Linked DNA regions of Tamandua tetradactyla. The protein of the gene in region 1 purifies or fractionates together with the protein of each later gene. This does not show direct contact. Links are inferred from orthologs where the notes say so. Each region holds a gene or a part of one and is shown in the gene's direction. Other genes may lie near its edges. The genes, in order: FYN, SKAP1, PDGFRB and CD36.

Region 1 (7,442 bases):
AGATGGTGGATTTAACAAAATGTAGCTCTTCTATATGAGGATTTGATGAGATGGAGGTATCACAGCAAACCAGGTATGCTAAGTACTGAAAGTGTAAGCCCTGAGATCAGTTTCTCAGTGGTCTCCCATTCTCTCAGTGAACTTTTTTCGAGAATCATCCTTACAAGTCCTGGGAGATCCACCAGAAGTTAGAAAGCTAACTGCAGGTAGACTCCCTCCAGTTTCCTGGCAGGGAGTCTCTTCTGGATACCACCCCTGCGGCATTGCTCTTTCACAAGGGAAAAAACATCAGAGAAGAGGAGGAGGAAGAGAAAGGGGAAAATTAAGGTAGCAAATGAAGGAAAAGGTTTAAGGACAGTTTATTTCTCCCAATGCAGAAAAATTCTGAAAATTCAGAAAAGTATAAAAAATAAAGGTGACCTACAATTGGATAACTTGGAGAAAATCACTGTTAAAACGTTTGTGCGTGTTCTGATATGCTTCTCCTTCCATGATAATTTATAAACAGAGATAAGTTTTAAAATAATGGGACACTGTTACATAATAGATATTACATACACTGTACATATATATGCACACACATGCTAATTTGTTGTTCACTTTTTTCTCTTTAGTTATTGAGAAAATGTTTCCACATAAATAAATAAATATCAGCATTATCATTTTAATGGCTGAAGAGTGATCCACTATAGATGTAGCATAATTTACATATCGAATCCTTTATTAATGGACTTTTAGATTTTCCCAATTTTTCACTATTGTGAGCAATGCACAATTACTCCTTCAAAGGTATACCTTTGCTGATTTGCTCCATTCTTTCCCAGAATTAGAATTGCTGGTTCCAAGGTATGTGTTTTTTTTTAATTCACCTGTTCACAGGTGCTACCAAGTTTCGCACCAGGAAAGTTGTACCAATTAACACTCTTAGCAGTAGTGTGGGAGCACCCATTTCTCTAGACCCTTTTATGTCTTTGACCAACTAGGTAGTTGAAAAAATTACATCTTTGTATTGCTATGGTTACAAGTGAGGTTGAACCTCTTTGCCATTTAGGGACACACTTCCTTTGCACATTTTTTTTTCATTTATAGTGAGTATCTTTATTTCCTTGTTGATTATGTGATAATAAGACAAGAAAACATTTGAACTAATAAGTTGAAATAAGAAAAATGCTACTTTAAAAGGAAGAGAATAAGAAATTCAGATGTGAAAAAAATAAAGATTAAAAGAGGACATTTTAGATGAAATAGAAAAACTAAAATAACCGGTACCAATCAAGTCAAAGAGATGTTCTAGAATAATGCCTAAATTCTGTTTTGTATAATTGAAGCTGTCCACAAGGAAACAAGTTAACAAAATTGAGGAGGGGGTGTGTGGATAGAAAGGACAATATGACTTGCCTGAGGGGGTCAGAAATGGGGTTGTGGATCTTGAATCGTGTTCTCTGTAGAGATCCACACACTGGATTAAAGTGAACATTAGTATCCGATCTTTTTTTGCACAACTCTACACACTTGTTCAGACCATTTGTAAATCCTCCTGAGGAGGCCAAATCCACTTAAAGCTACATTTAAGAAGGGCAGCAGATAAAAGTAGGCAAGGGAAAAATGACAAAATCAGGATGAAGTCTTGATCTGAGGAGGTCATTTAAGTCGCATTGTCTTTTTTTTTTTTTGTCCACTAATTAGATCAAGAGGCTATTAGAGTTACAGACATTAAAAAGTGGCTCCTCAGGAAGAAGTCATAAACAATGTGATGCCTGACACCACCTGCCCCAGATTTCTAATGCAGAATTCCAAGGAGTTCTATATACTAAGAGTGATTTTTCTGGGAATATGTAAGAGTTTGTCTTCTAAAAGGAGGAAGGAATGCGCCAAGTGCTTCCACATGCATTTAGTCTTTATGATAATAGCGCGAGATCAGTTTTACTATTTCCCCATTTTTATGTATGGGGATAATAAGGTCCAGAAAGGGGAAGGGACTTGCCTGTTTATGAGGCTTCTGCCAGTGCACCGTGGAGCTAATTAAGACAACTCCGCTCCTCCAGACCTGCTCTGTCCAATAGAAATAAATTGGACAATAACACATGTTATCTAACGTTCTCTAGTAACTGCGTTAAAAATAAAAGAACCAGGTGAAACTAACTTCAATAATAGATCTTATCCTTTTAACATGTAATCGATGTATAACTTAGTAGCTATTTTACATTCCTTTCTTTTTCTCGTGCTATGTCTTTGAAATCCAATGTCTTTTACACCCATGGCACACCTCAATTTGCACTAGCCATATTGCAAGTACTCAAGGACATTTCAAATACTCAATAGCCACATATGGCTAGTAACTACTGCACTAGACAGACCAGCTGTAGGGGAGTGGTTCTCAAAGTGTGGTTTCCAGAAGAGGGGCACCAGCATCACCTGGAAACTTCTTAGAGAAATGCACATTCTTAAGACCCATTACAAACCTACAGAATCAGCTGTCTGGGGGTGGGGCTCACCAATCATGTTTTACCAGGCTCCTTCAGCTAATCCTGATGCACACTAAAGTTTGAGAGCCATTGCTCTAGATAACTGCCTGTCCATTCTAACCCATATAAACCTAGGAGAGCCATGCCAGGTTAAGCACTGAAGAAGCGGAGCCCCTTCTCTTGACATAAGTAATTCTTGGTAGATAAGGTTGGCCTTCTCTTGCCTGGAAATCTTCACTTCCTGGTTGTGGTTCCATTTCTTGGAACTATGTAACGAATTACATGGAGTTTAACTTCTAATTTTGATTAAGGAGAAAACAGAAAAACCTGACCAGTAACCACCTTGTACCGCCATCACTAGTTACTTCTCTTTCCTTCAACCATAAAATGGACAGTTTGATAAACGTTTAGAACTCTTTCAAAATGTACCATGTACAAAAAGAAAGTCAGCAAAAGTGAGTGACTTTTTAAAAAAACTACATTGACCTTTTTTGTAGGCAATGAGAAGTAACATAATAGATTTTGAGCGTGGACTCAGAAGTTGATTCCCTTACATTTCTTAAGAACACTGGATTTGCTAAGAGGGGATGCTAGGGTTCTTGCCAAAATCATTAAGGAGAATGACTCTGAGCACGCCTTGAAGTAGAACGTTCAGTAAACAGGAATCACCTATAAAGAAAATCAGGAAGCCAAAGTGTTTCTTTTTATGAAGTTACATCCTGCCATAGAAAAGCTGGATAGGAAATAAAGACTGATGCACTCCCAACTGTATACTAAACCAGCAATTATTTCATCAAGGAAAATCTGAGCAAAAGCAAAAGCTCAGATTCAGTGCAGGGAAAAAAACACACGAAAAGTTTGAATGTCATGGGAAACCAAAGACAACCAGTGGCTAAAATTAACCCTGGTTCCGGGTGGGGAGTGGTGGGAGTACAAACAGAAATCTCTACCCTGTGATTGTGGGTTCCTCAACCCCCAGACTTTTTCAGCTCCCCACTGCAGTAATCCTTTCTCGAGACTTTTGCTTGAAAATAAATAGATATGTGTACCCACGAAAATGGGAAACTAATAAATTAATTCCTAACTTTTGGACTTTTTGCTACTACTGTTTATTCGTTGTGCATTTCCAGGGTTATCCCAGCTTTTCTAAGTTTTTGTGCTGGGATTCTACCTCGCTCCGCACTCATTTCACTTTGATCAGACACGCTGCTATCACCTCCCTAACATTTTCTCGTTTCATCCTCCCACCCTCACATAAAAAGACACGAGAAAAGCAAGACACTCCCTTTTCGAGCAGGTACCCATGGTTTAGGGGAATGGCATTGCAGCTGTCATTATCCCCATCCTTCCACCACCTCACCACCACGCACAAACCTTACAGCAAACAAACAAAAAACCCTCAAGTGCTCCAACCTCGCACCGGCCCGCACACCCCACACTGCACGCACGCCAGGATGCCAGCTGCCACAGTAACACTCAACCCACTCCGCGGCCCCACCCACCGCCGCCCCGCCCCCGCCCCCGCCACCAATGGTCGCCGCCCGCAGCTCTCAAAGGCTCCCTGTGATAGGGCAGCGGCGCCCGCCACTCTCGGGGTGCGTCCCGCCCCCGCCTCGCTCCTCTCCTGCTCTGGAGGGGCTGGAGCATCAGCGAGAGTAGCAGCGAGCGGCCGCGGCGGCGGCGCGCGTTGTTGCAGTTGCGCCATCTGTCAGGAGTGGAGCCGGCGGGGAGGGGGCTGCCGCGGGAGAGGAGGAGGGGTCGCCGCGAGCTGAAGGCCGCCGAGACCCGCCCGCCTGCCGGCCGCGGGAGCAAAGGCGAGGCTGCCCTCGGAGGCGTGCGTCCTCCTCCGACCCGGCGCGCGGCGCTTCTCCCGGCGCACGGAGGACTCGTCCGGCGCACACAAAGCCGCCGCCGCGCCTGAGAGGGATCCGGCAGCCCGGCCGGGGACACCCCGGCGCCGCCCCCTCCGCGCTCTCGGAGGCCCCCCGGCTCCCGGGCCCGCCGAGGAGCAGCCGGAGCCGCCCCGGCCGCGCTGGAGGAGGGCGCGGAGAGGACCATGTGAATGGGCTCCGGAGCCTGAGCGCCGCGCAGGTAAGCGGCCGGGGAGGAGCCCTGGAGGCCGCGGGGATGCTGCAGAGGCGCCGGGCCGCCTGCGCCCCTGGGCCGCGTCACCCCTGCCGCGGGGCCCCGCGCTGCGGTCCCCCTGCCGCCGCCGCCTCCGGGCCGCCTCCGAGAGTGCCGGGGAGCTGCCTGTGCTCGGGGTCTTCCCGCGCGGGAGGACACCGCTGCGGGGGGCGCGAGGGGTGGGTAGCGCAGGGCTAGGGGGAAGCGATTCCTCTCCCGGAGCGGGCGCCGGCCGAGGCTGGGTTGGCTTGGGGGCGAGGCTGGCCCAGGCTCGGGCTCCGCCCCCGCCCTCCTTTCGGTGCCCCCCGCGGGGAATGGGGTTCTGTGTGTTGTTTTAATGTCAGGGATGATGTAATCACTTAATAATTGATGCCCCGTGCTGCTTCCCTCCCCACCCCACCCCACCCCGGCCCCACTCCTCCACCTCTCGGCCTCCTCCCTCTGCGGCCGTCGCCTTCCCTATCGCATCCTCCTGCCTATTTCTGGCACCTCCCTTGCGCTTCCCCCATCCTCCTTCTCACTCTTCCTGTGCCACCACCCACCCACCCTTCCCCTTTCCCCCGTGCTGGAGCCTTCCCTCCTCTTCCTCTGCCCCCCCACCCCTGCTGGTCTTGGTCTCTCCAGCTTCTTTCTCCTCCCTTCCCCGCTCGCTGGATTTCCTCTCTACTTCCCTAGATCGATGGCTGTTTTTGTTTGGTCTCCTCCCTTCGCTTATCTCCGCGGCCACAGGCGGAGGGGACTGGGCCAGAAAGAGGCCACTGAGCTTTAAGTCCAGGGTAGAGATTTGCTGGGACTCACTAAGAAGAGGGATAATAAGATCACCCTTCTTGGCCCTCCTCCTCCCAATAAATCACACAGGCTCCCCGTTTGTGTGTGTATGTGTGTGTGTGTGACACAAAGGGCCCTTTGAGCGCAGAGAGAGGCAGTGCACAGAGTACCCAAGGATGAACCCGAGGTTTTTTGTTTCTCTTCCTTGGGGCTTCCCTTCCTCCCAAATGAAGCAGTTGGTCATCTGTCTGAGAGTCTTTCCTGCCACATGTACCAAAATATAAAAGGACCCCAGAGGCGGAGGGAGCAGGTGCCGGCATTTTGCTGTGCTCTACACTGAACCGGTAGTGTTGACTGGCAGCTGCAGTGTTTCCTAGATTTAAGGGGGAAATGATTTCAGCAGTAGTCTCGAGTTGCTTTACTGTTCGGAGGGCTACCGTCCTCACCTCCCCCACCTTTTGAGGATGGGTACCTTGATCTGTGGTTGGATAAATTGGTGTGGGGCAGCAGAATTTTGTTTCTGAATCAGATCATTAAATTGGTGTTAATTAAGAATGAGGCACCCTGACTTCCTTCTCTCAAGTCTAGGGCCACGGTGTTGTGTGTTGAAGTCTTTTGAAAGGAAATCTTGTCTTCCCAGTGTGGTTGGTACACTTACATTTAAATAAATACCTGGGGACCTTGGTAAAACATGTAGAAGTGGCATTTGGAAGAGGGCTGGAGACTGTTTCTCTTCCCTGCTTCAGCAGAGCCTGCAGACGCCCACATCCTTTCTCTCACCACCCAAGCAACTGCAACACTTTCCACCCTTTGTGCTTCTTTCTCCTCGAGTCCCTGCCTCATGGGAACTGTGCTTTCAGATGAAGGGACTCACAGACTTTTAGAGGAAGTGGTTTGTTAACTATAACTATGAACAGGGGATGTAGAAAATCTTTTAATTCTAATCTGTCTGTTTTATGTTCCTCCGAAAGAGGAAACATTACTGTAAATCTGGGGCTTATGTTCCATTTTGTAAGCCAGTGACTTACATGCTTAGTTTGATCATGTCAAAACGTAAGTTCATTCCTAAGAGCATGCATGCCTCCTCAACTATTATATTAGAATGGTCTTGAGTTTATTCTTAAAGAATTTTACCAGAAAACAGCTCATATGTCTCATTAAAGATTTGCTTCTGCACTTTTTAAGGATGTTCATCATGGAGCTTTTCATATTAGAAAAAGCAATAGGGTTAATGAGGATACTATAAAAACAAAGGGGTGTTTGTTTGATCGCAGACCCAGGAAGGAGAGTCAGTGCACAATAAACAGTTGACCAAGTTAAAGAGGCTTCATGATGAGGTTGAATCTGAACAAATGCACACACTGCTTTCTGTGCCTTTGCTCCGAGTCTGGAGTGGCTAGCCCCATCTGAGTTGCTTGGTGAAGTCCTGTTTAACCCTGAGGGCCCAGCTCAAATGTCATCTCTTCTGTGAAGCTTCCCACTCTCGCCCCTCAAAGGAATCCCCATGCTTCCTCTGCTCACACACACAACCACACTATTTTGTTTGCAAATGTTAATAGCAGGCTTTATGTTTGGCATGAATCTGTTTTCTCCATTAAGTTAGCCAGCACCACCGAGAGAAGAAACTGCTCTAACCGGGTTTCCTACCAAGTGGTACCTTAGTGGGTCCTCAGCGTTTCACTTAACACTCAATGAATGTGAATGAGGTCCTTGGAAAGTGCAAGGCACTGTATTGATTAGACTGATGTTAGCAGCTGTAACATATGGGCCCTTAAAATATAATGGCTCAAAAGCAATAGACATCTATTCTTGCGCATGTAAAAGTTCAATATGGGTGTTTCTAATCAGTGGGTGTTTTTCCTCTGGGTCCCATGCTCCAATCATGTAGTTCCACCACTCCATAGAGATTTATTTTTTATTTTTATTTTTTATTTTTTTTAAAGACAGAGAAGGAAGGAAGGATGGAAGGAAGGAAGGGAAACATCTTTAAACATTTTCTTGTTTTATTATATTTTGTTTGTTTGTTTGTTTTTTACATGGGCTGGGGCCGGGAATCGAACCGGGGTCCTCCGGCACGGCAGACAA
Region 2 (7,612 bases), on another chromosome or scaffold:
CTACACCCTTGCCCCCCAAAAGAAACTCCATTACAGTTTCCAAAAGTTAACATGTTTGCAAATATCTACCATAAAATTGGCCCTAGCACCACCTGTCTCCCCATGCAGTTTAACCATATAGCGGACCTCCAGGTTCGCTCAGAGAGCACGCTGTGTCATTTGGCTGCAGTTGACACATTCCAAGTTCCCATTGCTTCCCCTCCCCCCATTCCCAAGAGAACCAATCAAAGACAGAGAATGTCACCGTCAGCAACCTCTGTGGTCCTTAGGGCCATTGTGGGGTTCATCGGTGCCCATGGGGAATGTTTAATGTGGTCTAAGGGATAGGCAAAAATGATACTAAAAAAAAAGTGATTGGGGAATATAGAGGAAAAATAATAAGGGGAGTAATAGAAAGATATGATAAAGTACAAACAAAGAAATGTTATTTAGGAGGAAGAGGATCAACAATGATTGTTTCACACAACTGCTCGGCCATCCCCAGGCTGTAATTATCCAGCCCAGGAACTGCTAAGTTCATCAAGAGCTTTGGACAAACACAAGAGACTCAGGACTCTAAGGCCAGTACATTCCCTGTGAGCTGTGTGGTCCTGGACAGGGTGTGGGCTTGTTCTTCGTCTTAAATTTGATTACCTTGAAGATTCTTTTGAGTTTTCATAGCCCTCGTTCTGTCCGGAGGCTCTGCCTTATCGATAGCTTGCTTATGGGAATGTTCCCTGTTCTGATATGAGACCCTGCTTATTTTGTTGCCTGTATTAGCACAGAGAATCTAGAAGTGTGAGTGGAAAGGGGTGACCACCGCAGTGCATCTGTGTGTGTGTGTTTAATAGGACTTTCCTGTGTTTAATGGTTACCTGATTGGTAAGAGTAAGGTCTCTGGATGCTGTAGAAATACCACATTTTAAGGGCACTGAAGTGATGGACCCAAGGTAGCATCTTGTGCTCATCTCCTGGGCCTCAGAAGTGGCAGGAGCCTCGGTTTCTGGAGCCCTGCAAAGCATGTGGTGAGCCTGATCTTGGCATCTACAGGACAGGATGCATCATCTCTCCTTCCACAGCCCTTAATGAAGTGTGCAGCTCTTGTCCTCATTAGGTCTCAGCATTGTCAATAAAAGAGTCAATAAACTCGGTTGATGGGGTTGGGACTGAGAGGCTGAGATGCAGCGGCTGCACATCCACAGGGCAGACGTCAGCTCCGCTGCGTGTCATGACCCAGCATCCAGGGATCAATAACCAGCTCAGAATAAAGCCTGAGAGTCTGCCCTCCACAGTCTCCTCTTCAGATCCATTTTACCCAGGGCAGAAGAGTGCCAGCCGGCTCCTGCTTTGCTTGCAGTTGTTCTTATACTATGCCATTCTGGGTGCCAGATGCTTTTGTTTCTTCCTGATTGATCCCTCTGGATGCCCCACGGATGCATATTTAGTGAGTGCCCACCTGGCATGAGAATATGCAGCCGGCATTCTCCAGCAGCTTAGAGAGCAGCATAGACTGTGTTTTCTCTGTCTTCTGTCTGCTGACAGTGTGAGGCCCTTGTTGACAAGGCGGTATATTGTCTGCATGTCCTGCTGCCGGACTTCATTCCTGGCTGCTCTGCATCTCTTTAGATATCCTTATCTTATCTAATTACAAGGAATTTTAGATTAATTTCATGGCCTTTGCTCTAAAGGACCTCTTATCAGTGAGGGTCTTGTATTTTAACCTTGCCATTCTTTTGTTGTTTGCTTTTAAGGGGCAGGCAGCTAGGAAGGGTCTGGTAAGAACGTGCTGGAATTGGGGCTAAAGCAAGGGAAAAAAGAACGAGGCAGACAGACCTGGGATTTGTGTATTCTGCTCCATCCTCCTGCCAGTATGCAGAGACAGCTGGCTGCTTACTTCCATGACAGCCACATGGTACCCAGCCACACAGAACAGGACCTGGACAGGGACGCGTCTGCTGCCAACCTCTCCAGATCCCTTTGATATTTCTGACAAAGCAGTAAAGGACTCTTGACTATCACGTTTTGCCTTGCTTCCCCTTACCTCCTCTAAGACTCTTCGGTGTGGTTTCCATGGCTACTCCAAATCAGATCTGGCTTCCTGCAAAATTGGATTTCAAAGAAGGACAAGGCTTCAAAGGAATTTGTCCATTTAACAGAATGTCATTAGGAATGAGGCTGACCGCTGAACCAGGTTCTCAGATGATTAAGGAGGGGCTGCGCTCATGTGCGGAGGCAGGTTTCTGTCTGCAATGAGGAACCTTGATGCAACATGACAATACCGTATTGGAATCTGCCAGTCACCCACCACACATTACCCAACCTGCACCTCCCTCCACCTCCATCTCCTAAAACCCAGAAATTCCTGCGGGGAAGAATGGATGTAAAATACCTATGTTGCAAATTCTGCTGTTTCACTTGCTTTAGTAAGCTATGACAGGCAGTGAGTGAAACCTGTGAGGATGTACAATTACCTGGGTGTATTGCTCCTTACCAAATAACTTATCAGCTTGTAGCCTATATTAGCACATGACACAATATCCTTGCAGAATGGGGTTTGTCAAAGTTTCTTCCATCCCTGAGAGGGAAACAAGGCAAAGTGCTGGGCTTACATATGGGAGGAACTTTGTTTCCCTTGCTGTTTTTTTTTTAGAAATAAACTTTATAATTTAGAACAGTTGTAGATTTGCAAAAAAAATTATGACAACAATACAGAGCTCTCATTACCTTTCTTTGCCTAAGTACTAAAAAAGTAACTACAATTTTATGGAAGGAGCAGCGGGGCAGCTGAAACTGCCTCAGGAGGTACCTGGTACTGCTCAGAAGCCTGGAGAATGCCAGTCTGTCCATTGCTACACTTTTCTGCGGCAGGAAGGAGCCAGCTTCTGCTCCCAACCTCTCCGTTGTGGTAGCAGTGCAGGCCTATAATCCTGAAACCAAGGTACTCTTTCTCTTCAAATCTCAGGAGGCAGACAGTAAAGATGGCTCAACCCCACTGCACACTTTAAAAGACTAAGCCCCCAACCTTAAGGCTGTATCTCAGCCAGGGGAAAGTAGGCTAGCGGGGCCTGCACTGCTACCATGTGTCCTTAAGGATGGTTTCTCCTTGTTGTTTCCTTCAACACCTCCCTGAGTCAGTCTTTATTCCCCCTGAGGCTATTGTAAAACCACTTCATCCCTCTTCCTGTTGTCCTTTCTCTTACTGTCCCCCATCCTTCCCACACACTGTGTGGGTCGAGTCTGAGAATAGAAACCCCATTTAACAAAGAAGGAAAACCACAGAGGTGCAGAGATGTATGTGAGGTCACATGCTACACAAGGGTTCTATTTAGGTCTCTCCGCAGCTCAAAAATTGTCAATGGCTCCCCAGTGCCCATTCAATTGAGTCCAAAATCCCGATTCTGATATTCAAGGTCCTTCACAATAGAGCTTCAAATTATCTTAACAACCCTAGTTTCCCAACACTAGCTACTAGCTGCTGCCTGAAAGGAAGGCTTTCTCATCTTCGTTTTTTCTGGCCCTTCCACCTGGACAGCCCTCCTGACCCTTCAAAATTCCGTATGTTGTTCAGAGCCCACCTCAAATGTCACATGTACCTGCATTTTCTCCTTTTCTTACATCTGTCTTCTTTTATCTCCCATGGCACCTTGCATCTTTCTCAAGGTGCTTGGCCTACTGTACTTTTTTTTTTTTTTAAAGTAAACTCTTTGTTTTCAGATAATTGTAGATTCACATACAGTTTTAAGAAATAATGCACAGCGAGGAAGACCCTGTGCTCCTTCACCTGGTTTCCCCCAGTAGTAACATCTTTCAATACCACGGTGTGATATCGCAACCAGGATATTGATGCCTATTGTACTTTGAGAGAACACTGTTCTCTGTAATCTTGTCACTCTCCTCCCCGTATTAGATCTTGGAGGAGAAGGGCCCTCTACCCTTCTCCCTCAGCTTCCCCCAGGCCACCCCTTCCATTCCCTGCATCTTTCAGCCTTAAGGAGGAAGGGACACTCGGATGACTCCCTGTTCCGCTCCAACTTCTATTCTCCCAAATGCTGGTGGCTTTGTAGTATTTATTGGGATTTAAGGTCATTTTCCTTAAGCATGGGAGCTTTGCCTGAGAGAGGGAAAGTTTTGTCCTAGTTTCCCGGGCATGGACGTTGTGGACGGGATCGGGGGTTGAACGGTGCTACGCTTGACTCGGACTAAACTCTCCTTCAGATTCTTCCTCCTCCTCACCCTATTTTGGGCCCCACGGTTGCTTTTAATCCTCTCACCTTGAGACCAACCGTCCGGTGCTTAGGATGGAGAGTCTCAGAGACAGGGTTCCTTTGACCAAAGCCTTTGTTTCGGCGGGGGCCTGGAGCGGTCACCCTTTGGCTTTGCCTGGCGCGGGGCTCCCAGCTCTGCCCACCGCCCCATTTCCCTCCACCTGCGGGCCTCAGGGCACCGCCCACCGCCCCATTTCCCTCCACCTGCGGGCCTCAGGGCACCGCCCACCCCCGGGCTGCGCCCGCGGCTCCCCAGGCTCCGCCCCGGGCCGGCGCCCCGCCCTGCGGCTGGGCGAGCGGAGGCAGCCGCCGAGCGGCGGCGCCAGGGGTGCAGGTGCTGCCCCGCGCTCCCCCCGCCGCCCGCCCGCGCCTCAGCGCACGGCCTTCGCGCGCCCGCTCCCGCCTCACCCTCGGGCCTCCTTACCGCCCCCGCGCAATGCAGGCCGCCGCCACCCTCCCCGAGGACATCCGTTGGCTCCTGGAAGGTAACGCCCTGGCTCAGCCCCGGCCTCTCCCTCGACCCCCCGCGAAGCCCACAGGCGCTGACCTGAAGGGAGGAGAGGAGGCATCGGGGCTTCCAAGGCCACGCTCTCTGGGCCGCGCCATCACTCACCTCTTTCTAGAACATTCAAGGCTTTTAGAGTTCTCAACTCCCCAGGACCGGGCTCTCATCCTCTCACCTCAGAGTCTCTCTCTCTCTGGTTCTCTCTAGTCTCACTCTCTCTCACACACACGCACCACTGAACCTCCCAGGATTCAGGCCAGATTCTTAGTCCCCCATGCCACCTTGCCTCGTCTTCCACTTGTCTCTTCTCCCTCAAGTCTCCGCCCTGCACCTGTAGGCTTTCGCCCCCCTCACCCTTCCTCCCAGTACTTCTTCACCTCTCCCAGAGGACCCTCATCTTCTTGGTTAGAGGCCCCGAGCCTCCCCAGAGGGACTGTGAGGAGTTTATGGGGATCCTCTGCTGGCCAAGGCTTCGTGGTTAGTGCGAGGTTTGGGCAGCGCTGAAACCACAGGCTCCATCTCCAGCCTGCAGCCCTCTAAGGGTCTCATTATCAAACCAGGGCCAACTAATATTCCCTATTCACTATTGCATTTCTTCCTTTTCTAGTGTCCAACCATCATTTAAAAATTAAGGCCATGCTAACACTCAGCACATACTTCTTTCCAGCACCCAGAAGAGACTCTTCGCTGTATACAATATGGTATCTCAGTTGACACTTTTCATGGTGAAAGTAATTTTTACTTGCTTTCCTGTAATTGACCTTCTAGGAAGAACAGAGGCCTGGAATCTGCCCTTGCATAGGAATCCCAGGAGGAAACTATTCAAAATTAAGCCTTTTGGCATCTAAGAGACATATTTGACACATATTTAACAGATGGCCTGCTTTGGGAGGTCATACTTTTGGCAAGCAGCTATTTTTCAGTTTCCCTCAATTTAATTGGTTTTATATCTCCATTACCTTGTTATCTTGGTATAAATGCCTCCTAATCAAATATTTGGCAAGTCTGGATTTGTAGCACTCTTTCCATCCTGTATTGCTTCTATGTAAAAACTGTCAACTAGGGTCTTTTTTGTGGGTGTGTGTGGAAATTTTGGATTTCCAAAATCCATTTTAATTATGATTTGAATGAATCTAAACTTTAGGAGTAGAAAACTAGTTGCAGGGTAAAAGAAGTGTCAGTCCAGCCTTTTCCCTCTTGCTGTTGGGTTGCCTGTTGGCTCAATATTAGACTGTAACATGAGGCTCTAAGTGTCTTTTGGTTTTCAGGAGAGAAGAAACTGTGGTAAAAAAGTTTAATTCTGTCTTTGCATTTAAAGATATAACGTGATTCTTTCTATTGGCATCTTGCATTTGAGAGGAAACCTGTTTTACAAGCTTGTTAAGCTATACTTCATTTTTGTGTGTATACTTGGTAGAAAGTTTCTTTTTATTTCAGAGCCTTGCAATGAAATTCACTCTTTTAACATTTTTGCTGTGTAGTCCTTTATTGTTCAAAACTGACACTTTGGTAAACAACTCATTCCTACACCTGCCACCTTCCTTTAACTTGGATTATTTTCTTGTTAGCTGACTTTTTAATTGAAGTCTTCAGATCTCCTTCTAAAGTAGAACCTTTGTTTGCTGACAAGTAGAGCAGGGTATGAATGGAGATTAATTGCATGTCACATACTTCTATATCAAACTTGCTGCATCTTAACAATCTCGGTTGGTGCGCAGGTCTTTGGAATTTATGAGGAGTCTGAGGTTAAATTTTAAGGAGCTTAATTGGTTAATGTATTTTTTTTTAAGTTTGCAATTAAGAGCCTGAATCTGAAGTAGAGAAAAAAATGTAAAGTGGGATTCAATCAGTAATTCTATTTCAGTGTTTGAAGAATATGCTTTTGAAAGGCTCGTGTAAAAATAGCAATTTATTGGTTATAGGTTTTATTTTTATGGAACACAATCTCTGGTTTCTGTCAGCAGAATAATTCACTGTATTATGAATAATTTGTGGATACTAGAAACTCAAAATGGCTATCAGTTTATTGCCTGTTGCTGTTTACTGTCTCTCCCTCCCTTTTTAAGGTTAACTGTTGACAATTAGAAAATATGTAGGTCCTGATCTCTAGTCACTCAGTTGGAGGGAGTAACAGGATGTAAGAGCTGCAATTTTAGAGCTGCCGCATGGCCTTGGGGGGTGGAGTTTCCATGATGACTTACTACTTTCACAAACCAAGGCATAAGTGTTAGCACACTGATTTAATGCTGACCATCAAAGCCATAACACAGGCATTTATTTATTTATAACTACATGGGCATAAATGACAGGAGCATGCTTTTCACATAACATGTGCTTTTAAAAATAAAATATGCAAAACATTGTGAAAGGTTAATGCTGAAATTTTGCATAATAAAGAAGAGAAAACAAATTCTGAAGGTTTAAAACTAATTTAGCTTAAGGATAAAATGTTAAACAATTAAAAATGCTTCATTTGACTCAGAAATTCCACTTCTAGGAAACTGCATTACTGAAATTAAAGTACATGAAGTATGTGCACAAGGATCTCTCTTGAATATCCTTGAGTTGGGAAAGGATGAGGCGATGGTTGAATAAATCATGGAACATCCAGAATATGGAAAACTTTGCAGCCATGAAGAATGTGTGATGTATCTCTATATATTAACTTGGGAAATGGCCAGGGCATGTTTCTTTTTTCTTTTCATGGCATGTTAAGACTAAAAAGCATGGTGCATAATAGTACGTTTAATATCCTATTTTTGTTTGAAACAAAACAAAACTAAAACTCCTATATATTATATGTTTCTGTAAGTCTCAGAAGAAGTAGGAACAATATACTCCAAAATGTTAATTTTAGCTTCGT
Region 3 (7,103 bases), on another chromosome or scaffold:
GCACGTTCTGGCCCTCCTGGGCCTTAGTGTGTCCAATGAGGAGGAGACGTGTGGCCTCTGGGCCCTGCTGTGCTAAGGATCCTTGAGCCATCTGTGTGTACCAGAAGGACTTGCCCCAGTTCCTTGTGGTCCTGGAGCACCGAAGTGGAGGCCACCTAAGAGGCTGGGGAGAGGCTTAGGTGGGCAGTGTCTCAAAGCCCTTACCTCCTGCAACCCTCGCAGGCCTTGGTGGCTGCCGTCTGTCCACTAAGGGCAGCCCTGGGAACCTAAGGTGGGAATATGGCCTGAGGTCTCCAAGGACTAAGGCCCCATCCAGCCTGCAGTGTCAGTGTCCAGGCAGTGGGCACCGATGCTGTGTGATATATATCCCCATGGAAACTTTTTTCCTGTTTGGAGTCTTTTTGTGCCACAGGTCTTTGTTGTAGACAGTGGACTCTTAAGTTGCTCAATTAAATGACCATTAAAGCTCCGAGTTTTAAAAAAAGAAAAGAAAAGAAAAAGCTGAGTATCCAGGGGATAAGAAGGAGGGTAGCTTCCACTTTGTGCCTTTTGTGGCGGTAGGCTGCAGGCACAGGGGTGTACCTGCACGGGGCATGAAAGGATGAAAAGACATTGAGCTGGAGTCAGGAGTCCTGCATTCCAGGTCTCTTTCTCCCTGCTAATTTCCGGCAGGTTCTTTCCATGCTCGGGACCTCAATGCCCACGCCTGTGCAGTGGCTGTGCTCTTGGAGCACTTGAGGCCCTGGCATCCAAGGTGACGGCACTGATGCCTGGGACATATGTGTTGCTTCCTTGGCCCGTGCCTGGGGAGTGTGGGTGCGGTGGGGGTGGGGCCGCGTCTGGGAGCGTGGGAGAGCCAGATGTGGTGGCCGCTGGCCCTGCCGGAGTGAGCGCTGAGCCGGCCTGGTGGGAATTCTCCCACTCAGGCTCCCTTTCCGGACACCCTCCTCCCCCTGCCCCACTGAGAGCTGTGGCTTCCGGCTCTGACAAGCGTGGGTGGGGGTCTGAGGAGGGGAGTCAGTTGAGCCCTGTTCCCTCCTTCAGGGAAAAGCTTGGGCCTCAGAGTTTAGGCAAAAGCTGTGGTTCCAGGCTCGGTTTTGCCAGTGACACATTGTAGGGCCTTGCAAAATTGCTTCGTTGGGCCTCAGTCATCCTGGCTGTAAAATGAGCGGGTTGAACACGTTCCCCTCCAGCCCTGGTAGTGGACTTCTGTGACAGCCGCTCCTGGTGACCCCTGAGAATCAGGCACCGCTGGTGGAGTTTTCTCACTCTGCTCTAGTCCTCTGTTCACACGCCTTCTGGATGTGGCTTATTCAGGTCTCTTAACAGCCCTGTAAAGTAGGCACATTTATCTCCACTTTACAGGTAAGGAAACTGAGGTTCAGAGAGCTCAGATAATATCAGTGGCCAGGGTCACACAATTAGGAAGTGGCAGAGCTGGGTTGGAACTCAACCTTTGAGCAGTACCAGGGTGCTGCGGGGAGGGGAGATGCTGAACCCAAGGCCCAGGGCTCCTCTCCCCTGTACCTCTCTCCCCATCATGTTCCCAGCATGGAACAGGGTTCCCGTGCTCCACACTCTGCCCACCCACTCTCAGCCCAGCCCTCCCCAGGCCAGTCTTGTCTGAAGCCATCAGCTGGGTGGGCTGGGCTCCCAGCATCTGGGCAGGCAGGGGAATGCTTGTGGCTCGTCCTGTCCGCAATGGGGCTGAGCCTATGCTGACCACCCTGGCATGTCAGTGCTGAGCTCCCCTTGTGGCAACCATGTAGCCCTCTCAGAGTACACAAGGGGAAACTGAGGCCCAGAGAAGAGAGGGCTCAGCCTAGGCACACACAGTAATTGGTGGCAATTCAAATGAGGGAAATTCACTATTTCAATAATTATACTTCCAGGCACTGTACTAAACCCTTTTAAGTGCAGTGCTAATTTGCAAGGGTTTTATGAGTCAGTCCTTGGATTCTCTCCATTTACCAGATAAGGAAACTGAGGCTCAGGAATTTAAGTGATATAGCTCAGATGTGGAGAAGTTGGGATTTGATCCCAGGTCTGTCTCTGGCCCCAAAGCCTGCCTTCTTATGACCCTTCGGCATCAACTGTCCAGCTCTCAGCAAGTGCCCTGTGGTGCTCCATGTGGCTTAGCACCAACCCCTTCTCAGCTGAGAGGAGGCCCCATAGCCCTAGTGCCCACCAAGGGTTAATGGTGGTAGGGGCTAAATGATTCCAGATGGGCCAGCGGAAGGCTGGGCTGGCCGGAAACTGTCGGCCGCCAGCTTCCCTAGGGAGCCACCACCAGCCGCCCCCTCCCCTCTGCGCTACATATCTGGCCCCCAGCTGTCCCCCTGCCCGGGGCTCATCAGCCGCCTCTCCCTAGCCAGAGTCCAGCTCTTAGGGAAATTGCAGCAGAGCAAACCTAGGGCTTTCAGGTATAGCGAGTTCACCTCTGTTATGTACAGATGATGAAATTTAGGCTCAGGAACGACAAGCGACCTCTCCAAGGTCAACTAACAGATACGTGAATGGGTCTCCTGACTCCCAGGCCAGCTTTTATGGGGACTAGGAAGTTGAAATGCCTCCTTAAACCCCCTCAGCTGTCTTGGTCCCAGCAGTTGGGCCAAGGATTCAGAGATGAATGGTTAGGCAAGTTCCAGAAGGGGAGCCGCAAATTCCTCAGAGAGTTTTTGGGCATAAAGAGTCCTGTGTGGGTCTAACACTGTGATCTCTGGGGTCCCCCTACATTCCCCTAAAATTCTGCTGCCACCAAGCCCTGGGCTTTGGGAGGTTCTCATGGCCTCCCCACCCCACGGCATGGGGCCAGCCTGAGGACTCTTCTCTCTCCGTGCAGCCCAGTCCAGATGCTAGGCCAGGCAATCCCTACTGGGATAGGACCAAGAATGATCACAAGACAGATTACCATCATTGGCGTGGAATCCCAGCTCAAACAAAACCCTGCCCTGGGAACAGGGGGCTGGGTGGGAGAAAGGAGGAGAAGGGGGTGGGCAGAGGTACAGAGGGCAGAGGGGAAGGAGCCCTGGGTTATATCAGCTCTACCTGTGTGACCTGGGATTCCTTTCTTCCCTTCTCTGGGACTCAGTTTCCCCATGTGCACAAATAGTGGGGGCAAAAATGGGCTCAATGCAATGCTCTTAAACTGTTAGCCCTTTAGCATCTAAGGGCTAGGAGGGAGTGATTAGAGACATCGTCAGGGCAAGGAGGCCAAGGTAAAAGAAGAGTGTGGGAGGTGAGAGGCCTAGCCAGGGGACCCAGGGAGCCTCAGCAGTCCCTGGTAGGGAAGCTGGAAGTAGAGCATACCAGCTACTTAAAAATATCTGTTAATTTTGACTGAATTAAAGAGAGACAGGGAGGGGGTAACCTAGGAAGAAGGCAGAGCAGGAGAACTGTTCTACTCTGAAATGTATGTTAGGATCAGATAACCTATGCCCCTTCAATCACATGGCTCATCAGACCAGTTCTGCTCCAGTTCTGCTGTTGCTGTGTGAGCTTGGGCAGCTCATTTTCTTCCTCTAGGCTTCAGTTTCCTCATCTGTAAAATGGGACAAATAGTCTTTTACTGCCCCTCCCCCCAGAGGCTTTGAAATGATAGGAAGAATACATCTGGAGATCTGAAGATGTGTGCTTTCCCTCTCTGCTCCAAGTTAGCTCTGGGCCTTGATTTCTTCTTCTGATAAGTGACTTATAATCCAAGCCATCTCTTCTCAGAAGTACTCCCCGATTCCCGGAGGCCCCATTTAGGTGCCCTCTTAGCTCCCTGTCCTCCCGGGGATACCTGCTTGATCACTGTGTGTCTCCCCATCAGCCTGTGTCTTACTTGCAATCTCATCCCTTGCTCCCCGCCTGGCTCATTAGTGCTCAGTAATACTTGTTTGCAGAATCACCCACATGGCTCACCAGAGCTCCGTTTACAGAGGGGGAACTGAGGCACAGAGAATGTGCCTCCCTGCCTCCACGTGCCATGGCAAGAGGAGCCACCACCGTGACAGGCAATAGGCAAGTGGGGCTGGGCCACTCTTTAATAAAAGTGACTCAGCGGCTGGCTGGTGTGGGCTGCGGAATTTCTAAACATCCCTTCACATCCTGAGAGAGAGTGAGATGGGAGGGAGCAAGCAGAGGGGAAAAGAGGAAGAAAAACAAGAAACTTGGGGGAAAAGAAAGAGAGAGAGAAAAAAACGTGAAATTGAAAACAGACGCACGCGTCCGCCCTCCCTGCCCTGCCTCCCCCCTTCTCCCAGCTGGGCCAATCGGAGGCCGCCCTGCAGCCTTTCCCCTAAAGTGGGGGGGCAGGGAAGCCCACAGTGGTGTGAGCTCCTGGGGCTGCCAGTGGCCCGGCAGTCCCTGCCCGCCCTGTCTGGGACGTGGGATTGCTCCGGGAGCAACTTAGAGCCACAGAGGACAACAACGAGAAAGAGTGAGCCTGGCCCCTTCGGACCAGCCGCCAGACAGCAGCCTGCACCGTGCCCAGTGCAAACAGCCAGACCCAGGGCGGCCCCTCTTGGCAGCTCGGCCCCTCCCGAAGGATGCTTTGGGAGTGAGGTGAAGCTGGGCTGCTCTGCACCCCTGCAGCCCTCCCACTCCTTCATTGTCCAGAGGCTCCTGGATCCTGCAGCCGCCCTGCCTGCCTTTCTGCCCACCCATTGCCCTGTCTCCACTCTACCAGTCTTCCTAATAAGAGGGAGAGGGCACTGAGGACTTCCTGGAGGCGGTGGCAGCCCAGAACCTGGGACTCTGTCCACACCAGAAGGCATTGAGAGCCAGGTAAGTGCTGAGACGGGGTAGCCGTAGCCCCTTACCCTGTCCCCTTGCTCCATCCTGCACCTCCTTGTAGGTCAGAAAAAGAAAAATATTTTTAACAAAACCAGATGGGAGGAGGCTGAGAGATTGCAGGTGATGTCAGGGCTGGAGGAGCCCGTTATCTCCTTTCCCGGCTCAGGCCGCTTCCGGGGTGGGCTCTGCCTCCGCAACTCTGCTGCCCCTTCCTCAACAACAACCTCCAGTGGTTTCTGGTGGGATGCAGCTTGGGGCCTCCAAAACACAGCATCATCTGTGGGGGGTAGGGAGAGCTGGGAGGGGCGTGAGAGGGGAATTGGGGGATGGCAAACAGGGTACATGGACCTCAGGCACCCAGCCCCTACCCCCAGGCCCAAGCCTTGTCCCTAAGAATGGGACTGGCTCTCTTCCAGCCGGCCGCCAGGCAACCTCTGGGGATTTAAATGGATTTGCAAATTTTCCGGATTCCTAAGATGTCCTTCCAAACCCCCAGGGGCTGGGAAAGTGCGAGGGCAGGGTAGCAAAGGGGGCCCCAGCCTACTGTTTGCGTGGCTGGGACTGGGGGCTGGGGCTTGGCTGTCGGATCTGGGGGTCCCCGTGTGAAGAGGGGGTTGATTGGCAAAACCCTTCCTCCCGTGCCAGTCGGCTGCTCAGGCCTACTCGCCGTCTGCCTCCTGAGCTCCGCTCCTTCTCCGCTCCGTTCTAAGACATAAATCTGATCCCTCCAGCTTCCTGCTCAGAATCCTTCTGTGGCTCCCCAGGGCCTGTAGAAAACCCCAGCCCCTAATAACAGCTGCCACTGATTGATACTTGGGGTATGCCAGGCACTGTGCTGAGGGCTTTATGAAAATGATCTTGTGCAACACTCAGCCCCCAGAAGCAGGAGCTGTTTTTAAACTCCCCTTTACACATGAGGAAATGAGGCTCACAGCAGCCACATAACTATAGCCACACATGAGCTAGTGATGGTGGAGAGTGGAGAGGTGGTAGCCCCCTCACTACTCTGAATCTGGGCCTTTTGTTCCTGCCAAGCAGATCACAGGCTCCCCAGAAAGAATTTATACCATCCTGCCTGTGGGCATTTGCTCTCCCCTTTCCCCCTACCTGGAAGGCCTTTACTCATCACCTTCACTTTTCCTTCAAGGCCACTCCCTACACCTTCCTCCTCCATGCAGCCTTCCTGGCTTTTTCGGTCCCTGGGTCACTCTCAGCTCTGAACTCCCAAGCAACTGTCTTGTACTTTGTGCTGGAACCCTGTTGCTTGGCTTTCTCTCTCTCTCTTTTATTTTTCTTTAGATGGGCAGGCACTGGGAATCTAACTCGGGTCTCCGGCATGGCAGGCAAGAACTCTGCCGGCTGAGCCACCGTGGACCACCCGCTTGGCCCTCTCTTGTTTGTGTTCAGTTCATAACAAAGAGAAAGTGCCAGCCTCAGGTCTCCCCATCTTGTGCCCAGCCCTGGGCAGAAGTGGGGCTGGGAAAACGTGCTGTTGAAAGAGAGGAGGGACTGGCTGCAGATCTTCTGTTCCCAAGTGGGAGACCAGAACCCAGGCCTCCTGCCTTCCCTTAAGTGTCCAGCACGTAATTCCTATATGCCACATTTCCCCATTGCAAGGAGGGAGGGGTGTCCTTGCCCACGCCTGTGAGCCCCAGAGCGCACAAGGCCTCCCTCCAAAGAGCTCTTCATAGCCCTCCCCTTCCTCGGAGCAGGAGGCAGGAGCATCTGTGGACATATCAGGCGTGTTGGTTTCATCATGGAGCACTCACGCCGTGCCAGGCATAGAGTCTGGTACCTCACAGGCCTCAATCCTCACAGCAGGCCTGTGAGGATTTTGAGATCAGTGTTGATTTTAGCCCTGTTTTGTAGGTAAGGATACCGAGCTCAGAGAAGCTAAGTGACTTGCCCAGGGTCACACACCTAGCAGGGTTGGTATTTAAGCTGTGGTCTACCCGAATCCAAAGCCCCATGCTATGCAGGGAGGCCCCGGCCAGAGGGAGAGAGTCTCCATCCTCCCGCAACTTCAGTCTTGTCTCAGGTCTGACCTTCTGCTCCAAGACCCGCCTGGGCCCTGGCTTGCTCCTGAGTGGGGAAGAAGCCCATCTGGACAGGCCGCTCCTCTCACAACCGTGGTTATCAGGCAGGCCTCCCTCCTCTGGGGATGACAGCCATTTCTTGGGAGGACGAGCTGGGACTTGTAATTACCCACAGATGTAGGGCAGTGGAAAGCACCGCGGATTCAGAGTCAGGAGGCTCGGCTGCTGCCCTGGCTCTGCTTACACCCTCTGTGTGCTCAGCCTCAGGCCCCACGTCTCCGCTCTGGG
Region 4 (7,357 bases), on another chromosome or scaffold:
TGAGATGTGAGAGCTGCAGATCGCAACTGGAGAGCTTGACTTTCTGATCGACTCAGAATTATAATAATTAATCTTCCCATGTTTCTCTTGCAGAGGATAGAGCCACAGCTCCCTAGACAATGCTTTGCACAATCTGTCTCCAAGAAAGTTCATGAGAATTGTCTGATTATTAGCTGATAACATCAAGCAAAGTTCTATAAACATGCTGCAGCATGGCAGTAATAATTTTAACACACTAAGGCTCTGCGTCTGATTTAAAAACCAGTGGGACATCTGCTTGGTTGCTACCATAATTGGCTGCCAGCCTGTTGTTTTGTTGTGCTGGAAGAAGGACTTTATGTCCTGTGGATATTATTTGCTCTTGGTCCAGGGGGACCCAAGTTTCCATTAGGTTACAAACTCTGTACTCATAGCCAGTTGTGTGCAAGACTCTTGCAAGGTTTTTGTAAAACATGCATGACTATTTTTCCTTTTTGTACTGGGTTCTTTCAGTTTCCTTTGGTCCTTTGTAAGAAGTATCTTCCCAGGCTCTCAGTCCCTAAGGCATTACTTGGAATATTTGCCACTCCCCCCACCCCACCCCACCCCACCCCCACAGGATGGCTTTGTGAAAGCTCCCATTGATAGCCTATATTACACAGATATATTAATATTGCAATATAACTTTGCTTACTTGTGTTCATATGGGCTCAATTCCATTCACTCACTCATCCATTTATTATTCAGTCTTTCATTCAGAATTTATGTTTTGAACCTGACTTTGTGCTAACCACTGAGCTAGATACCTTCTTTTATGTTAACTGAAGAATGAGTGTTCATGATTGAATTCCGTACCCCAGTTTGGGCATGTTTTTATTCTTGGTCCTCATTCTGGTGAGTGCAGACTGCTTGTAGATAAGATCTCTTCAAGATATTACTTCAGTTAAAGTGTGGTCCCATTGAATTCAGTTGGGCTTTAATCCAGATTACTGGAGTCCTTTATAAACAGGATGAAAATCAAGGAGAAGCCAGGAGAGGCCAGCATGTGCATTGCCACGTGACAGAAAAACTAAGGACCAGGGAATGCTAGCAGCCATCCCCAGAGTGCCACAGTCTTCTGCAGAAAGCTTCCATTTGCTGACACTTCAATTTTGGACTTCTCCTAGCCTCAAAGCATGAGCCAATAAACTCCCATTGTTTAAGCCAACCCATGGCATGGTGTTTGTTTTAGCAGCCAGGAAACTAAAATACACTGCAAACAAATAAGTAAAACAAACAAATAAACAGAGAACCCTGAGAACTCTATGAGAGTGTGCTCATAGAATCAGCTTTAAATTAGCCCTTCAATATTTTTTATCTTAAATACACATTTTAAGCAAGCCAATAATTATCAAGAGTTTTTTCTGAATGTTTTTCCTAAATGTAAGAATAATTAACAAGATTAATGTGTATAAGTGTCTTGGTGAGTATTACTCATTGTTTTCAAGTTTATTAAGAGGTTTATGCTAAATTGTCCTTAGAAAACCACGAATAGTACCCTCCCTGCTATGTTACAGAGCCAGGGATTCAAGCCTTTACAATGGGCAGTGTTATACTAATAAAGCGCAAATATTCAATTTTAAATTTGGATTTTCCTGGAAGGAATTTTTTAAAGAATCATGTTATTAATTTTAAAGTCCTAAACATATTCAACATGTCATACTTCAGCTTTAATGAAAGCTGTTAATAGTACTTGCTGAAGAATAGAATCCAGAAGCATCAGAGAAACAGGTTTGGGGAGCTGTTAGGAAGGAAAGGAAATATGAGTATATTACTGTGACTGTACTGATGATGTCTAGCATGTGTATGATGAATTTAATTGCTGACAAGAAAAACAGTTTCCACACAGGAAGGGAAATTTTGCAATAATGTCATCTGAGGAACATTTTATCAACAGCTGGCAACAGCTGTCATTAGCAGCACGACTGCTGGTTCAACATTAATGTCTTAACACTACGCCACTCATTATGGAGCAAAGGCCAGAGGAGGTTTCGGTTTTGCCTATTTCAAAGTTTATTTTCATAAGCACTTGAAAGGCGGGCACTTAGGGAAAAAAAGGTCCTAGATGTATTAATTGGTGCTCTGTGATGAAATGTTCAGTTCTGAAGAGAGTTGAGAGTGATTTCTTATGATTGCCTGGGTAGAGCGGAACTTCAGTCCTGTCCTACTCAGTTACCAGATGGTCTCTTTTAAGTCAACCCACCACTACCCACCACCCTCCCTCACTGCCCCCCACCCAGTGGGTGGTATATGATAATGCACATACATCGAAAAGAAATTCACGATTTCCTATTATTTGTAGGACATAATCCACAGTCTGAGATGCTGGTACTTGGAATATCAGACATTTTAAAAAATTTATTTTGGTTTATAGGAAAATATCTATAGCTTTGTTCACTGAATTTTTAACATTTGTCTTCATGCTTCTTTGATTAAACACTCAGTTTAACAAGGGCCTTGTTCAAGTACCAGAAAAACTTTTTATACACTTGGGACATTTTATTTTCCATCATGAGAAGAGTTCCATTCTAGGATGTTTAGGAACACGCGGCCCTCCTTCCCAGGTAGATGTCTCCAGTGATGACCGTGTGACCCGACGGACTGGCTGAGTCCTCTCCACCTGGACGGCCGCGACTGAAACCACTTCTCAGACCTCCTGCTGCTAACATGGTGCCCCAGTGGGGAGCAGGTGGGCAGCAGGCTAAGGCAGGTCAAATTCTGCTTGTATAAATTGGAGAAGTAAAAGAAAAGAGGAAGTTGAAGAGGTGAAGTTGAAAAATATAAATGCAGTTCAACTGCAGTTGTGGAGCTATTCTTGGTTAGAGCTGTGACATAAACTTCCATCCTTTTCTTGTGCCAGGGGCATGATGCATCTGGGGTTTTCTTGGTATCATAGAAATTCTCCTGAGGGATCATTTCTGTTCTTACCCTAAGTTTGCTCAAATTAATAAATAAAAAAAGAAGCCTTGGAAATGCTCATCGAATGGCTAATCTGATACAAATAAAGGGTAGATGGGAACTAATTTTCAACTGGTCACTCTATTCTAAAATGGGAAAAAAAAACCTGTATTCAAGTTAAAATTAGGTGAGTTTGACTCTCAGAGGAATCATGCATTAACTTTGTGTCCATTGTCAGCACTCCTCCTTCCACACTTCAGTTTTCTTTTCCTTAAAGTGGGGCCTAACATATTCTTTAACTTGAAGTGAAAGGCTATTTGGGGATTAGGAAAAGAGAATAAGATAGCTTGATACCTATGTCGCACAGCATCAGATACTCAATAAATGTACTTATTATTACAATACTATGAAAACTGGTGTTGGTAATTTGGCAAAAGAGCCATTGTTTTTTTTCAGAGATACTTAATACTGCTGGTTACAAACCAGTTCCATTCAGGAAAAGAAAACTCCAAAGTTCATGGTTTTACTTTAATGCCATTCTGTAAGAGAAGATACTAACTGAAAATATTTCTTCCCCACCCGCCTCCACCTCCACCCTCAATATCAGGAAAGCATAACAGCTTTTCCCTGGTTTCTCAGCTTACCAGTTTGAAGATAGAAATAGGGATATTTAATATCTGAATTCTGGAAAGTGATATGTTAGAATTTTTTTCCATTTTATTTTCAGAGTAGTAACTTTGTTCGCAGGGTCTGCTCAGGACTAGGTTAGAGCTTCATTTATATGTTTACTAGAGTTCTAGGCAAACTTCAATCTCAAATCAGCTGCACTGTGCAACTTACCAAAAGGATAAAAAACACAAACTTTTAAACCATGGCACCTTGGCATGGCACTTCCTGCCCCAAATAATTGAGACAAACATCAACAAAAAAGATGAAATTACTACTGAAGATATAAACGGAGAAAACATACCAAGAGAACTTATCAAATAGATACTCACATTTCAAGGACTCACCCTCAAAAAGCTACTGAAACAAAAACCTGTTGACTTTAAATAATATCCAATATTCACGATTTCATGTTGCTTTTGTACTTAATCCTGAAAGGAAAACTTCAGATAGTTGCTACCATATCACCAAAAGTGGTAATCAAAGAGAGAAGTAAATTGATTGCTGAATTAGATAAACTGCCAGTGATTGATTATTTGAATTTTCTATTTTCATAAGCACAGCAGGTATGTGCTAAAGAGTATAACAGGTTTTAGCAGGAAAAGGATTAAGGGTTTTTATTTTCCTCAACTGAGGCACAAAATGAGTGAGATTTTTTGAGTTAATTTTCATTTCATATGGCTCAGGTGTCAGGGATCTATATTTATCTCATGTCAGACATGCGTCCGAAGTGCTGGAAGTCTCAGGATGTCAATGGCTTTCAGATGTCGAGCTATCCTTGCAGACAGAAGAGTGAGCAACACTCTGGGCTTTATTTCTGAGTTCTCAGCTGCAAGTGTTTACTTTCTGCGTCTTTCCTTACAACAGTCTCTCTGAAGCTAGCCTTGGGATCCTACATCTGGGCAAGCAAGCTTCTCTAGAAGTCGGTGAGCAGAATTCTTTTTTGTTTAGGGGTGTGGCTCTAAAGGTCTCTGTCGTTGATGTACTATAATCTATTACTTAATAATAATCCTTCTTAAACTCTCTAAGAAGATAAATACTCTCTGATGTAAGAATTTAATCTACAATCCCTCTTCTACTGTATTTGTAACTTCTCAACTAGATTGATGGGAAGAAAGTAGGCTTTTTTTTTTGAAAGCAGACTTTTAACACTTAAATTTTACCTTTTCACAAGTCTCTAAATTCATCCTGTGAAATTCCATTTGCATATATGTATACATGCCTTTTATTTAGAAGGTAGCAACAAAGTAAACATCTGTTAAGTTCTCAAAGTGTATTTTTAGTTGAAATTGGTAGCCCTTCAGGTCCTCTAAGTTGATCTGGCATGTCTTAATCTTGATGGATTTCTTATTTTACCTAACTCAAATTTTTGTCCGCCTACATATAGGCTCTTTTGCATATTGCCTTTTGAGAAGATACTCTAATATTCCGGCCCATTAACTTTTCTTTTTCCGAATTGAAAAGCACATTTTTAGTGAGACTAGAAGTTGGATGACTTTCATTCATGGGATTCTCAAATGTTTTTTTGATTTGTTATCAAGGTAGACATGAAGAAATGTTCTAAAATCCTCTTAACAGTGTGACTCCTAGAAAGAAGAAAACAAAAGTATTGGCATACATAAGACTCACTGATTATTTCGTGGTCAAAGAAATTGTTGACAGTGGGCATTGGGTATCTATTATTTCAGGAGGGTCTTGTTATATAGCATAATTTTTTGTTACATGGTATGTTTCATATCATGTAACACCAGGTAACCTTATAGTGACATATTCAGAAAGTATATTTAAAGTTATACTTATGAAGAGACAAAATTAAATGTTGATCCAAAAAAAGGAACGCACACAAAAAAATGGGGGATGGGGGGCAATTCCCTTTGACACTCAAAGCCTGGGAAAGAATTGTCTAAGATTCTTTACCATTAAGAGAAGACTGCTTTTTTTTTTTTTTTTTTTTTTTTTTTTTTTAATTTGGGGAATGGTTGCTTGGAGTTATGCTGAATTCTGGGGAAAACATTCCAGCCTGATACTTTTAAAAATGTTAATTTCTTGTTCACTCTCTGTGAGAGAACTGAGAATTCAGATCAGTTCTGGATGAGATTAATAGAAATGAGAACAAACTCTCCCTTTCTCTTCTAGAATGACTGGCTTAATTTTCTAAACATTAAACAACTTGATATTCCTTTTAAAACTCTTCTACAGGCATACTTTTGTGGGGAAATTTATGAGATTTCTGTAATCCTGACGAGGAGTAGAGAAATATCTTCAAATGATGTAAAACACAAACACTAATTATTTGGAATCGGATCCTTTTGTAAAGGACGACAACTTTGTAATTAATCGTTCTGAGAGTTTAAGAAAGCAGACACCTGAGGATAGCAAAACAATTTCACCTGGGAAAAAAAGATAAGCTCTTGAATGCAGAAAAAAAGCTTTAAGGCTATGATAAATCAATGAATAAGACTGCATTAAATGGAAGAGAATGTTTTTCTTAGAGCAAAGAAATAGCATGAAAATATATGGCTGTTGATGTGACTCTGGCTCATTTCACATCTGGTGCAAATTGCTGGTATTTGATTTAGATTTCTAACTTAAAGAATTTAATCTGCATTCTTAGCATTTATAAGCTAAGTTTCATAGTTAAAGTCTTTGAAATCATTTTCACAAAATTTTGCAGTTGAAAAGAAATACTGTAAAATGAGAAATGAGGGAAAGGAAATGTCTTGATTGGTCAGTTGTATATATTGTTTTCTTTAAGATCACATGTTGCTTTTTGGAAGAGAATTGTATATTGTGCTACCACTTCACTGCCACCTGACAGAAGTGATCCAGAATGAGTAGTGACTGAGGAAGAGTGGAGCAAGAATTAGATTAAAGGAATTCTAAATAATGCCTAGCCCAAAATAAGCCTCTCAATCACAAACAATAAATTGTCCTTCAGGAAAAAGAAATAGCGTTAAGACTAGTGTAAGTGCACCAGGAACATAAAAATAATACAGTTTAATAAAGAATTAGTTTTTCTATTTTGTGTGTTGTATGTCGAAGTCCAGAAATTGGCTAACCACTGGAAACTTTCTTCTTTTACAAAGGGCAATTAGTGTGCCATTTGTTCCTCCATGAGCTTTCTAGCTATTTCTTCATAGAGAAGGGTAGTAGGGAAAACCCTGTTTTCTGTCTTCAAATTTAAGTCATATAGAAAATAAAAAACACTCTTAGGTACTTGGAGGTACACTGGTAAGTAGTTTAAGATGTTTTGAAATAGAACCAGAAACCTTTGTCCCACAAACACTATAATCTGAAGAAGGAAATGACAGAAATTTGGCAAGCATTAGAGAAGGGACATAAGAGACAGCTTGGCTACACTCACCAAGAATTCCAGAATGTGCTGAAATGTAAAGTATTGTTTGCCCTTCAGTGCTTGTGAAGTGAGGAAATTAAAAGTGACACAAGGACAGGATTTTTCTTTAAATATTATAGTCTCATTCTTAATGCTCTTGTTTATCATTCATAGAAATATAAATCTTAACATTTCTTCAGTTTTTATTTTTAGAAAATAAAAAAGGCTATTTGTAGCCTTTTCATGATTTTTTAAATTAAAAAAACCTTAATCTAATTGAAATTCATTTGGAGGCTCATTTGTTCTATTCTGGGACTTCATTATCCCCTATTTGAAATGTAGCAGATGCCCTTACAAGGTATCCTTCTTGATTCTTATTCTGCAATGTTTTAGAGATGATAGAATAAAGGTGTTTTAGAGTGATCATGAGTTTTAATAAGT

The links.
Region 2: the proteins of FYN (region 1) and SKAP1 purify together in Homo sapiens (affinity purification with western blotting; 3 studies listed by BioGRID and IntAct, with this or other methods). This does not show direct contact. The link is inferred for Tamandua tetradactyla from reciprocal best matches to the Homo sapiens genes FYN and SKAP1.
Region 3: the proteins of FYN (region 1) and PDGFRB purify together in Homo sapiens (pull-down; 3 studies listed by IntAct, with this or other methods). This does not show direct contact. The link is inferred for Tamandua tetradactyla from reciprocal best matches to the Homo sapiens genes FYN and PDGFRB.
Region 4: the proteins of FYN (region 1) and CD36 purify together in Homo sapiens (affinity purification with western blotting; 3 studies listed by BioGRID). This does not show direct contact. The link is inferred for Tamandua tetradactyla from reciprocal best matches to the Homo sapiens genes FYN and CD36.

What each region holds. Positions count from the first base shown.
Region 1 is NC_135331.1:170,731,403-170,738,844, reverse strand, and holds the start of FYN (tyrosine-protein kinase Fyn), read left to right. Parts: upstream 1-4,440; 5' UTR 4,441-4,556; intron 4,557-7,442. UniProt on the Homo sapiens protein: Non-receptor tyrosine-protein kinase that plays a role in many biological processes including regulation of cell growth and survival, cell adhesion, integrin-mediated signaling, cytoskeletal remodeling, cell motility, immune response and axon guidance.
Region 2 is NC_135332.1:29,701,541-29,709,152, reverse strand, and holds the start of SKAP1 (src kinase-associated phosphoprotein 1), read left to right. Parts: upstream 1-4,599; 5' UTR 4,600-4,680; coding exon 4,681-4,729; intron 4,730-7,612. UniProt on the Homo sapiens protein: Positively regulates T-cell receptor signaling by enhancing the MAP kinase pathway. Required for optimal conjugation between T-cells and antigen-presenting cells by promoting the clustering of integrin ITGAL on the surface of T-cells.
Region 3 is NC_135346.1:30,946,849-30,953,951, reverse strand, and holds the start of PDGFRB (platelet-derived growth factor receptor beta), read left to right. Parts: upstream 1-4,083; 5' UTR 4,084-4,770; intron 4,771-7,103. UniProt on the Homo sapiens protein: Tyrosine-protein kinase that acts as a cell-surface receptor for homodimeric PDGFB and PDGFD and for heterodimers formed by PDGFA and PDGFB, and plays an essential role in the regulation of embryonic development, cell proliferation, survival, differentiation, chemotaxis and migration.
Region 4 is NC_135327.1:137,120,457-137,127,813, reverse strand, and holds the start of CD36 (platelet glycoprotein 4), read left to right. Parts: upstream 1-4,343; 5' UTR 4,344-4,508; intron 4,509-7,357.